Oryctolagus cuniculus: one gene and its partners. The protein of the gene in region 2 interacts with the protein of the main gene of each other region in a pairwise test. Links are inferred from orthologs where the notes say so. Each region holds a gene or a part of one and is shown on either strand. Other genes may lie near its edges. The genes, in order: NTRK1, SH2B1 and INSR.

Region 1 (4,022 bases), on a different chromosome or scaffold from region 2:
TCTGCTTTCATTCCAGACCTCCCCTGCGTGTGCTCAACAATGGGGGTCATGCTGAAACACCTGCTTCCACAAGGGGCTGGGCTCAGCCCTGCCACTGCCCCACCCAGCACGGAGAGACCCTGTGTCCCTGCAAGCATGTGCCCCAATCACGCCTGCCCAGGGCCCACTCATACCACTACACACACACACACACACACACACACACACACACGTACACACTCCACCTTCTCCACCCCCTCAAAGCCTCTGGCCCCTTCCCACACTCAAGCATCAACCCCTTCCTCCCTCCACCCCTGCCCATTGGGCAGAGCAAGCAAGAAGCATAGAAGCTGTCAGGCATGGACCCCCGGACCCCTCCCTGCCCCAGGAGGGGCCCAGGCAGGAGGAGAAAGGGAATGAGAGAATGGAGTGGGAGTGAACTGGCTGGCTCACATGGCGAGAGAGGGATGGGAAGGGACGGCAGAAAAACAAAGAGAGCAAGACAGAAACAGAGAGAGTGAGAAAGAGAAGCTGATAGGGGGAGACTGGCAGAGAGAGAGAGGAGAAGGATAAGGAAAGGGAGACAGAGACAGAGAGATAAGGACAAAGAGGCAGAGAAGGCCAGATAGGAAGACAGCAAAGAAAGCAGAGCAAGCAGGCACCTGGGCTGGGGGCTGGCGGGAGCCCTGGGCTAGCTTCTGCACCCAGTGTGCCAGGGAGGTCCTGGGCACTCGGCTGTTCTGCAAGTTGCACGTCAGTGTGGCCCTCACATGGGCACCCGGGGCCCTGACTCACCGCCGCTTCTCAGAATGCTCCCACTCTACCTCTTACTTTTCCTAAGTAAGGACCAAATAAAGGAACCAAGACTAGCTTCTTCCTCCTCCCAGCCCCCCTTCCCAGCCTTGATCCCAAGAGGCCAGGCAAGAATCAGGTCCTCCGTGCCCTGAGGCTCAGGGAGCAACCTCTAGAGACCCGGAAGGAGGGCAGCTCCTGGTCCTCTCCACCCTACAGCACCTGACCGTAGGGTTTCAGGCTGCTGGGGCCCGGGGAGCTGGGAAGCAGCGGTGGCGGGCTGGGTGTGTGCAGGCTGTCAGGCAGCTTGCGCAAGGCTGCCTCAAGGCTGCCCCATTCGTTTGGATTCGTAATCAATCTGTCTATTGGAGTCCATTATCTCCTCGTTAGCTCTGAGGGTGAGGGAGGAGGGAGGGGGCTGCTGGTCCACCCAGGGGGACATCTCAGCTCACCCCCTGCATACCTCCTAGCCCCCGACCCTGGACTGTCCACCCTTCCCCCAGGCGTTTATTCTTCTTGGGGCTTGGAAGGGCACTGGGAGATGAGAGCAGTGACAGGGAACCGGGGTCCCACTGGGACGCCTGGGGCGATGACTGGACAGGCTTCAGGTCCCCTCCCAGCATGCAGAGACCTAGGCCCAGACCGAGACAAGGCCATCTCCTCTGCTCCTAGCCTCCCCAGGGCCATTAGAGAGAGCTATTGAGTACCTTCCCGTTAATTACCACGAGATGCCCGAGCAAGTCCGTGCCAATTATTACAGGCTGCTCAAGTAACTTCCAGACAGTGGTGGTAGACCCCGCCTCGGACACCTTCCAGCCCCTCCCTGCACAAGGCCAGGGTCCCTTGTCCACCTTCTCAGCCCCAGGCCACAGGAGCAGGATTTTTCTAGCAGCTCGTCCCTGCTGCCAGGAGTCCTGCTGGCAATGCTTGAGTATTTTCCAGCCACTGTTCTGTGATGCTTCAGTACCTCGGGGCCAGTTATTACAGCATACTCCCATAGGTTTCCCCAGCCGCTAGAAAGTAGCAGAGTATTTGGTGGCAAATGGCTGCAGGATATCAGAGTAGTGCAAAACGCTGCAGATGCCCCTGGGCTGCGGGCAGCAAGGGGAGCGGGTAGAGGGGGCTGGGCAGGGGGCTCTCAGCAAAGGCCTGACTGTGCCCCAAGTCGAGACAAGGATGGAAAGGGAGATGGTTGGAGGGGGGCGGCTGGAGAAGCCAGGAGGGGGTCCCATTCCCCACATCCAACCCAAGGCATCCTGGATTCAAGGGATGGTGGAAACCGGGAGAGGAGCCACTAGGTTCCGCCAATCCCAGCTCAATTCCCAGTCCCAGGGCAAGGGCCTGGAGAGCCCGGTCATGACAAGGGCGTGGGGGCTAGCATGCCCCCTAGAAAAAGGAAAAGATGGTAGGGGTGCCAAACTGAGAGGGTCTCCGCGACCAATCCCCCGCCTCCAATGGAGCAGAGCTCGGGCTCCTGGCTGAGCTCCAGAAAGTGCCTTAAGATAGCCGGGCTCTCTCAGACCTGGTCCACGGAAAATGCGCTCGCTCTCCCCGAACCTGGCGCCACAGCTGGCCTGAGCCCTAGGCGGCAGCCAGGTAGTGACGGCGGGGCTAGCAGGGGCGGCTGCGGCGAAGGACCGCCGAGACCCCGCCAAAAGACACGCAGGGCCAGCCTCCCGCCGCGCCTGACCCAGCAGGCAGGCGGTGAGTCCGCGCCCTCGGGGCTCGGTGACGCCCGCCCGTCCCCGCGCTCCCCCTCGCCCGCCGGACACTCACAGCTCTGTCAGGTTCTCGATGCCCGGCAGGTGGCGGAGCCTGTCCAGGGCTCCAGGACGGGTGCAGAGCAGCCCCGAGGGGCCGCGGGGGCAACAGACATCGGGGCAGAGCGCGGCACCCGCGGATGCCAGCATTAGCCACGCCAGCAAGGTGCCCGGCCCCGTCGCCTGGCTGTGCCAGCCAAGCTGCCAGCGCCGTCCGCCTCGCAGCATCGCGGCGGCGCTCGCCTTACCCCGGCCCGGCCGCCGTCTGTGAGCTCCCAGCTGCGGCTGCCGGGCCTCCCCGCACATGTGCGCGGGGCGGTGTTAAAGACCCAGCCGCCAGGAAAGGGCGGAGCCAGCGGCCCCCGCCCGGCCCCGCCCCGCCCCTTCTCTCCAACTCCCGCACCTCCGCCGCCTCGGCTTTCGGGAGCCCGCAGCGCCAGCCTTGTAGCTCAAGATTCCCCCAGGTCTGGGAGGGGCGGAGGGGCCGCCGCGGAAGGTCTCTGGCTGGCCGTGGGGGCACGGGGAAGTTGATACATTATTTTTCCCAGCCTCAAGCAGCTGCCTTTTGACATTTTGGGGGGAGGGGAGATGACTGAGCCGTCCAGGTCCGCGTAGACAGCCCCCAGCCTCGCGGTGTGCTCGTCTGTGGGAGTGACGTCATTTGGGGTAATTTGGGTGAAACGCTCTGAACCCTAGGAAGAAAAGGAAGAGGAGCCCCCAAAAAAGGACCAATTGCAAAACAGAAGGGACAGAGAAAGGGAAGGGGTCAGGGAGCCGAGGCCCTGCCGTCCAGCAAAGGCCACAGGGTGGCGCTAGAAGCCTGCGCGCTAAGGTGCAAGCCTGGGACCCAGGTTGGGTGGTTGGATGCGGGGGTGCGGTCTGCAGCCCTTTCTGCGCCATGCCACGGGTCCCAGCGTCAGCCCTCGGTGCCCGGCCGGGCAGGACCAGGCCGAGCAGAGCTGGCATCGATCGCCGCCTTGACAAGAGCATCGATTTCTGCGCCGAGAAATTAATAGGTCTTCTCTTAGCCCTTCGGCCGCGGGAGCCGCCCGAGGGTGGAGCTGGGGACCGGCCGGCCCTCGGAGGCCGCGCACCTGGAAAGTACCGGGATTCCCAGCACGCAGGGCTTCCTGCGGGCCTTGGTGGCCACAAGGGCCCGATCTCTCTGCCGAGGGGAGGGGCAAACAAGGGCCCCAGGGCGCGAGCTCAGGCAGCACCCCTGGTCTCCCGATTCCCCGGGGCTGGGGCACACAGGAACGTCTGAGCAGTCCGGGTCACCAGGAAGGTGACCAGACAGGCAGATCCCCGCGGGGTGATCGCGTTCCTCAAGGGGATCCTGGCCAGGACTGGGGTACGTGGCGAAAACCAAGGCTCGCGCCAAGGGACCCAGAAAGAATGGCCAGGGGGGCCTCCTGGCCGAGAAAGGCTCCAAGACACTGCCCACGTTCTGGCCAGGTTTCTAGGAGCTCGCTGCGCTAGCCAAGGCTGCCA
Region 2 (3,567 bases):
CTCCTCCACTGCAGCCCATCCTATCTAATTTTTCCAAATACCCTGGGCCCTCCCCACTTTGGGCCTCTGCGCCTGCCGCCTGCCACCTGCCTCCCTGGGCTGTGTTCCTGGCCCTCACCTCCCCTGAGCTCCCAAGGCGCTTCCTGCTCGCGTGCTTGGAGGACACCAAGCACAGGCTCTGAGGGGCCTGCTTCTCACTCAGGGACGTCGGCGCCCGTGGAGGGCGAGGAGCTCATCTCGGGCGTGAGTCCCCGTCCTGCCCAGGGCCTGTGCCAGGCCCAGGCGCGCTGAGTGGCTGCTGGGTGGCAGACTTGAGCCCAGCCGACTGTCCCTGGCGGTCAGTGCTCAGGAGCCACACAGACATGGCAGACACGCGCTCAGGGCAGCAGGCTCTGCCAGTGCCACTCAGGAGGGCCTCAGAAAAGGCACCTGTGGGCGCCGCTCTGGCTCTGAGATCTGACTGCTCTGTTCACTTGCTGAGGACAGCCTGACTTCTCGGGACCGGGACGCTGCAACTTACAACACAGGGGCCGGAGACAGGGCAGCAGCAGAAGCAGCCTAGTCTACACGTGGCCTGGGGGAGGGGGGTAGTCTGGGAGGGGTGAGAGCAGTGTGTGTAAGGGTGTGTGAGAGGGTGGGAACAGTCTGTGTGTGAGAGGGAGGGTGGGGGCAGTGTGTGAGAGGGGTAGCAGTCTGAGTGTGTGTGTGTGTGAGAGAGAGAGAGGGAGGGTGGGAGCAGTGTGTGTATGTGTGTGTGAGGGGGAACAGTCTATATGTGTGTGTGTGTATGAGGGGAGCAGTCTGTGTGTGTGTGTGAGAGGGAGGGTGGGAGCAGTGTGTGTGTGTGTGTGTGTGTGTGTGAGCAGTCTGTATATGTGTGTGTGTATGAGGAGAGCAGTCTATGTGTGTGTGTGCATGCATGTATGGAGGGGAAGAAGTCTGTGGGGGGGAGCAGTCTGTGGGGGGGAGTAGTCTGTGTGAGAGAGGGTGGGAGAAGTCTGTGTGTCTGAGAGTAGGAGCAGTGTACGTGTTTGTGTGTGTGTATGGGAAGGGAAGCAGTCTCGGGGGAGCAGTCTGTGTCTATGTGTGTGTATGGGAGGAGAGCAGTCTGTGGGGGGAGCCGTCTGTGTGAGGGAAGTTGTGGAAGGGTGAGCAGTGTGTGTGAGGGGGGAGTTGTGGGAGGGCAAGCAGTCTGGTGGGGGCAGTCTGTGTGTGTGTGTTTGAGGGGGAGCAGTCTGTGGGGGGGGGAGCAGTCTCTGTGTGGGGGGGAGCAGTCTGTGGGGGGGCAGTCTGTGTGTGTTTGAGGGGGAGCAGTCTGTGGGGGGGAGCAGTCTCTGTGTGGGGGGGAGCAGTCTGTGGGGGGGCAGTCTGTGTGTGTTTGAGGGGGAGCAGTCTCTCTGTGTGGGGGGGCAGTCTGTGTGTGTGTGTGTGTGTTTGAGGGGGAGCAGTCTTTGTGTGTGTGTATGGTCAGGCCAGAAAGTAAGAGTCGAAAGGGAGGCCGCTGCCACTGCCCGACACGCGGAGGCAGGGAAGAGCTAACCTAAGATTTCTTGCCGGCGTGCTGGCGGCCTGGAGAACCGAGGTGCAGGCCTGTGGGCAGCTTGGGGAGAAAGCGACATGGCACGGGGTGGGCACTCAGCACAGCAGTCAGGACGTCCAGGCCCGTACGGGGTGCCCGGGTTCACGTCCCAGCTCTGCTTCTGGTCCAAGCTTCTTATCAGTGCGGCAGGTGATGGCTCAAGGACTTGGGTCCCTGACACTCACGTCAGACACCCGGATTGGGTTCTAGGCTCTGGCTTCAGCCTGGTTCAGCCCTAGCTACTGTGGGTGCTGAGGGAGCAAAAAAGCCTATCTGTTTTAAATAAAAAATGCTAATACAAATTTCAAAGTGACACAGCTGTTGCAAAAGGCTGGACAGGAATTTGCTCGGGGCCTGGGTGGGGTGGTGAGGGCGCTGATTCTAAACAGCCAACAGGGGGCCAGCACTGTGGTGCAGCAGGTTCAGCGGCCGCCTGTGGCGCCCGCAGCCCGCATCAGAGCGCCGGTGCCAGTCCTGGCTGCTCTGCCTTCCATCCAGCTCCCTGCCGATGCACCTGCAGACGCAGCGGAAGACGGTGACCCCAGTACATGGCCCCTGCCACCCACGTGGAAGAACCGGGTGGAGTTCCTGGCTCCCGGCTTCCGCCCAGTCCAGCCCCAGCTGTTGCAGTCACTTGGGGAGTGAACTTGCCCGTGGAAGACCTAGCTCTCCCTCTCTCTTTCTGTCACTCTGCCTTTCAAATACATAAAAATGAAATCTTTATAGAATACGGCCAATGGTGGCACTGAGAGTGGTGGCGTGTTCAGGTACAAAAGATGGGCTTTGGCAGGGCGGCGCGCTGGAGAACCTGCAGCGCCTGGGGCCGCGTGCGCGTGCGCGGTGGGCTCCGAGGCCCAGCTCCCGAAGGCTGCGCCCTTACCCTGCGCCAGGCGGTCGTTGCTCTCACTGGCTCCCAGCAGCAGGTCCTGGCTGGGCAGGCTCTCCGAGTGGTTCAGGCATGGCAGCTCCAGGCTGTCTGTGTTCTCCCGTGTGAGGAATGAGGTCCCAGGGGCCAGAGGGAGGGTCATGGGGCGGGGGCTGGTCGTGGGGCAGGGGCTGCAGAGACAGGAAAAGTGAGCCAGGTGAGCGGCACGGGGCTGCCCCCCCCCCCCCCAGCCCCAGGGCCCTGCGGCAGCGGCAGGCGGGCTCCTCACCCCGGGCTCAGGCACTCCTGGATGTCGGACACCCAGGCCTTCACGTGCAGCGCGTCGGCCGTCTCCAGGATATACTCCGCAGGGCCTTCCACCTGAGGCGGCAGAGGACAGTCCCAGCCAGCGCCAGGTCCCTTCCCGATCCTGACGCCTCAACCCCGCTCTGACGAAGGCAGCACCACCTCCCTCTCCATGCCCTTCCGGAAAAGCGGCAGGCCCGGCCCAAGGACGCGTCTTGGGGCACCTGACTTGCACGACCCCTTCCCCCAAGGGCACCTGCTCCGGTGCACGAGCACCCGCGGGCTCCTACCTTAACCACAAACGTGTTCTCCCGATCCGGCATCTCCAGGGCGGTGGTGGTCCGCACGTCCGTGATGGCAGAGCAGGGAATGCTGAGTCGGGGCCGAGACGCCTAGGTCGGGAACCGGAAGGAGGCTCTGCTGTGGGGTGCGGAGAGACCCCTTCCCCTCTACATCCCCGGGCTCTGCTTTCCCAGTCCTGCCTGAGACCCACACAGCTGGGAGGACGCGGGGGCGCTGCGGGGCTCCCTGCAGGACTGCGCCCACCCCGGGGCCTCACCTTGGGCGGCACAAAGAACTCCAGACGGCTCCCTCCTCCTCCTTCTCCTTCGCTTCGGAGCAGCAAGCGACACTTCTGCCACTGGGGCGGCCCCCCGGCCCCCGCCGCCAGCCCAGCTGTCCCCCCGGCCCGGCCCACTCCGGCTGGCTCGGGGGCTGCCTCTTCAGCCCCCATGAAACTCAGCAGCTCTTCCCTCTGCACCGTCCCTGCCCCTTCCTTCGGGCCGCCCCCTCCCCGACTCAGTCTCAGCCTCTCGAA
Region 3 (4,336 bases), on a different chromosome or scaffold from region 2:
CAAGAAGGGTCAGCAGAGGCCAGGCTGCAGGAGACACAACTGGGAGGGGTAGGTTACCTTTGAGAGAGAGCCAGGGGCGGTGCAGACACCAGCAAGACGCCATAGCCAGACCAGTGGGTGAAAGGTGAAGGGGGGAGGGAGGGGGCTTCAGGTCAAGGTTGGGTGACCGAGTGCAAGGCTTCTATGTGGGCTGAAAAGGGAAAGGCTCAGGGCAGGTGAAAATTCCTGAACAAAGAGAGGAAGAGGCAGAGAGCCCTAGGGGAGCGGAATCAACACCCAGCACCCTCCCGTGCAATGGCTCGGGAGGCACCTGTGCTTGTCGCGACCCAGGGGCCAGAGGAATGCCACCGGCAAGGAGATGCTGCCCCACACCCCACAGTGCCCAATATGGCCCTGCAGCCACGGGCAATCAGTGTCAACCACGGAGGGACCAGGGTGAGGGGTCCCCACCAGAGTCTCTGGGAACAAGTAAGGAAGGGGTGAGGGGCTGGTCTCCAGGAGAGAAGCAATAGTTAAGGGGTAGCTGCAAGGAGGTGACCATCACAGAGAGGAGTGAGTGCCCCCAAAACTCCGCTCACCCCTGCTTTAATCAGTCTCACGCTGCTCCTCTAACTTCCCAAAGCTCAGGGCACAGCAGAAAATGAAGGACGAGATCCTCGCCCAATCCCGCGCAGAGCAGCAAAACCTCCAAGGGGAGAATAGACCAGACCAGTCCATCCCCAGCCATCACACTGATCTCACACCATATGGGCAGGTGTCAGTGACTGGTAGCCTGGCAAGTCGCTGGCCCCTCCCCATCTCATTGATCTCAGGGGATTGTAGGACAGCAGGTACGCTGGCCCTATAACCTCATAACATTTCCTCATCGACCTGCCTCTTAGGGTGTGGTGAGGATGCCCCAAGATTATGCCTGCCAAACCCACAAGACAGTGCAAGCTGAGTGTTAGGCAGGTATCACACAGAGACTAAGGTGCTTCTTTGGATGATAAAGGAACTGCAGGCACCCAGGTCAGCTCCCCAGGGAGCAAAGATACTGACCGCCTGCTGCACCCAAGCATTGTTCTGGGCTCAAGAACTGCAGAAGTGAACAAAAACAGTAAAAGCTGTGCCCCTGGTGGAAACCAGGAACAGGTGAAAAGCCGGCAAATGCGTTCGCTGACCCCTGAAAGCCCAGGCACAGACCCATGGTTGGTTACCAAAGCCGCACAGAACATAGAGCACGTGCACACAGCCTGCCACAGGTATAACCACCCATCACGGGTATTCTCACCAAGAACTAATAGCGACTTCCACCTGCCGCTGAGCGCCTACTGTATTCCAGGCTCTCCCTCAGCACACTGGACTGAGCACCTACTGTATACCAGGCCCTCCCTCTGCACACTGGGGTCGGTGGCCACCTGCAAGTTAAGGAGCTTCGACTCCATCTCGTTCCAGCCCCTTCCTCACCCTGATTGATCTTTTACGAGAAACCCAAAGCAGCTGCACAACAGCCTCAGACCTCATGGTGGACAACATCAGGGTCCCCACAAAGGGGTTTGCTCTCAAGTCTGAGGAAGACACAAGGATTGGGGTCCACCTCTGCCTGCTGCCCAGGCAGGAGCACCCAGGAGGGCTGCCCACCAGAGGGTCACTCCCTGCCTGTCTCCAAGGGCAGAGCTGAGGGGCTGGGGGTACCTGGGAGACGTGAGACAAGGGACAGCAGTCCAGTGCCTCAGACAGAACTGGACACAGAGAAGGTCAGTCCTGGCTCTGGACAGTGAGACTATGTCCTGCCCAGACCTCAATTAATCCCTCTGTGAAATGGGTGCAGGACGCTAATCGCCTCCAGGGGTCACTGGTGGGGTTAACGGTGACACTAATGACAACAGTTAGGCCACTACGGGTGGTGCTCTCACGGCTGCTGATGCCCAGGCCTTACCAAGGGGCCTCGGAAGTCCGGTCGGCCAGGAGTCCTAGAGCCAAGGAATGGGGTAGCAGGGAGGGCCCCAGCCTTTCCACGCAGACAGCGGCACCCACTGCGGAACTCCCTGAGCTGCGGCTCCAAACCGTGCGCGCTGGGCGGGCGCTCGGCTGCCCCGACCCAGTGACCCCACAGCCCAGAGGCGACCCGGAGAGGGCGCGGGTGGCGTCTCCGGAGCGAGCCGGGCTCTGAGGGGGCGCGCTCGGGAGAGGCGCCCGCGGCCGGGCGACCAAAGGCCAAGGTCAGTGGCTTCCCGCCCCGCGCGGGGCCGCAGCGGCCGGCCCGGCCACCGCTCCTCCCTCAGCGGGGAGAATGCTCAGTCCACTACGAGGGCTCCATTTTGGCGAGGGGGGTGGGGGAGGGTCCCGTCCCCTGCGCGGCGCCCCTAGCCCGCGCCCAAGCCTCCCTAAACTTACCCTCTCCGGGGTACAGGTGGCCCGCGGCGCCCACCAGCAGCGCGGCCACCGCCGCCAGCAGCGGCGCGGCCGCCGCCCCCCGCCGGCCCCCAGCGCCCATGGCTGCGGGAGCGCGGGGTCCCCGCGGATCAGAGCGCGCGGCGCCGGCCCGCGGGGCTCATGCTCGGAGCCGGCCTCCTGAGAGGCGCTGGGGCAGGACGGCCCGCGGACCCGAGACGCCCGCCGGGGAGGACCCTGGAGACGGCGCCGCGAAGGGCGCGCGGCCTCCGCGGACGCCACAGACGCGGCTGCGCGGCCCACGGCCCGCGGTCTTCGGCCCGGGAGCTCTGCGCTGCGCCTCGGGCCTCCGGACGCTCGGCCGCGTGCTCTCGGAGCTGCGCTACCGGCGGCCCCCCAGACAGAGGGGCGCGCGGGCGGGCGGGCTGGCGGGCGGCGGGCGGGAGCGAGGGCGGCCTCGGGCCCGTAAACAACGCGGCCCGTCAGCTGGGCCCCGTGAGGGCCGCGGGAAAAGGCGGCGCGGATCTGGCCTCGGAAGGGACTCGGCGCCCGGGAGCGGCCCGGGGGAGGCCCGCGGAGGGGAGGGAGCGAGGGCGGCGCCGCCCGGCCCCGCCCAGCGCGCCAGAGGCCCCGAGCGCTCGGGGGCCGAGGGGGCGCGCCAGGTCCCCGCCCGGACAGAGCGCCGCTCCGCAGCCCGGGGACGCCCCTCCCCACCCTCGAGGCCCCGACGCGGCCCGGGCCGAGCCTCCCCTTCTTGGCCATTTTGCTGTTTTGTTCACATTGGAGGCTTGTCACCATATGGCACACCCGTGTGATTTGTCTCGGTGACTCGACACTCCCTTAAAGGCTGCAGCCCGCTCGCCGCGGCGCGCCTGGGCCCCGGAGCTGGGCGAACGCGCGTGCGCCCCAACCCGGGGCGCGACCCACCCGCGCCAGGGGCCCCCGGGGACGGCCGCCTGCCAGCACGCGTGCGTCCTGGTCGCCGTCCCCCGCGCGCTCCTAGGCCTGGGGTCCAAGCTGGAGAAGCGTCCCTCGCAAGGTCGTGGGGGATCCCAGATAAGGCGCAGGTGGACTCGCGCGGTTTCCAGCAGGCAACTCGGTTTCTAGAAGGAAATGGGTTATGTTTGTTTTGCTCACTATAAACCCCTTATAGTTTGTTGATTCTCCCATTAAACAAATATTGATCAGCCCACTAATACATCTCAGGGGACGAAGAACCAAACAACACTGACGTGGTGTCTGCCTTGACAAACAGGAAAGAAATGCAGAAAACACTCAGGAATTCTGAGATGAGCATGTTATGGAGACCATGGGGCATACAGAGAAGAGACAGAGAGAACTGGATCTGCAAGGTGTGGCCAACCAAGGCCCCATGGACTTCTGTTTGCTGAATAAAGACAGGAAAGGGAACCAGGTTCCAGGCCCAGATGCTCCACTTCCAATACAACTCCTTGCTGATGCACGTGGGAAAAGCAGCACTTGATGGCCCAAGTGCTTGGACCCGTGACACTCACAGGGGAGATCCAGATGAAGCGCCTGGCTCTAGACTTCCACCTGGCCCAGCCCCTGCCGTGGCAGTCATTTGGGAGATGAATCAGTGAATGGAAGATCTATCACTCTGCCTTTTAAATAAATAAGTAAACCATAGGGGGAGGAGGGAGAGAGAGAAAGAGAGAGAAAATGAGAATATGAATGCTTTGGGTCTGGGGTCCTCCTGAGGACTTTCCCAAGTCGTCTTTTCCATGCACCTCCCCAAATCTGACCTGCAGATACCATCAACCCAACATACCAGTGAGGCAGAGTGTGGAGGTGGTGGAACCCCAGGGCCAAGAGCACCTAGGAGGTGAGAGTGGAGGAGCCGCCATTCCCATCCACTCGTGACTGGACGCCAGGCTCCTTGGATGCAGTAAGGTGGTTGGACCTTTGTCATGTCCTGTTCTCTGGACATCATCACTACACATTC

The links.
Region 1: the proteins of SH2B1 (region 2) and NTRK1 interact in a two-hybrid assay, tested with the Homo sapiens proteins (2 studies listed by BioGRID). The link is inferred for Oryctolagus cuniculus from reciprocal best matches to the Homo sapiens genes SH2B1 and NTRK1.
Region 3: the proteins of SH2B1 (region 2) and INSR interact in binary tests that used the Homo sapiens proteins (3 or more experiments, as listed by UniProt). The link is inferred for Oryctolagus cuniculus from reciprocal best matches to the Homo sapiens genes SH2B1 and INSR.

The regions. Positions count from the first base shown.
Region 1 is NC_091438.1:41,947,924-41,951,945, forward strand, and holds the start of NTRK1 (high affinity nerve growth factor receptor), read right to left. Parts: upstream 2,830-4,022; 5' UTR 2,760-2,829; coding exon 2,548-2,759; intron 1-2,547. UniProt on the Homo sapiens protein: Receptor tyrosine kinase involved in the development and the maturation of the central and peripheral nervous systems through regulation of proliferation, differentiation and survival of sympathetic and nervous neurons.
Region 2 is NC_091450.1:7,706,090-7,709,656, reverse strand, and holds part of SH2B1 (SH2B adapter protein 1), read right to left. Parts: coding exon 3,310-3,567; intron 3,143-3,309; coding exon 3,041-3,142; intron 2,826-3,040; coding exon 2,734-2,825; intron 2,636-2,733; coding exon 2,460-2,635; intron 1-2,459. UniProt on the Homo sapiens protein: Adapter protein for several members of the tyrosine kinase receptor family.
Region 3 is NW_027208201.1:3,695,843-3,700,178, forward strand, and holds the start of INSR (insulin receptor), read right to left. Parts: upstream 2,848-4,336; 5' UTR 2,477-2,847; coding exon 2,377-2,476; intron 1-2,376. UniProt on the Homo sapiens protein: Receptor tyrosine kinase which mediates the pleiotropic actions of insulin.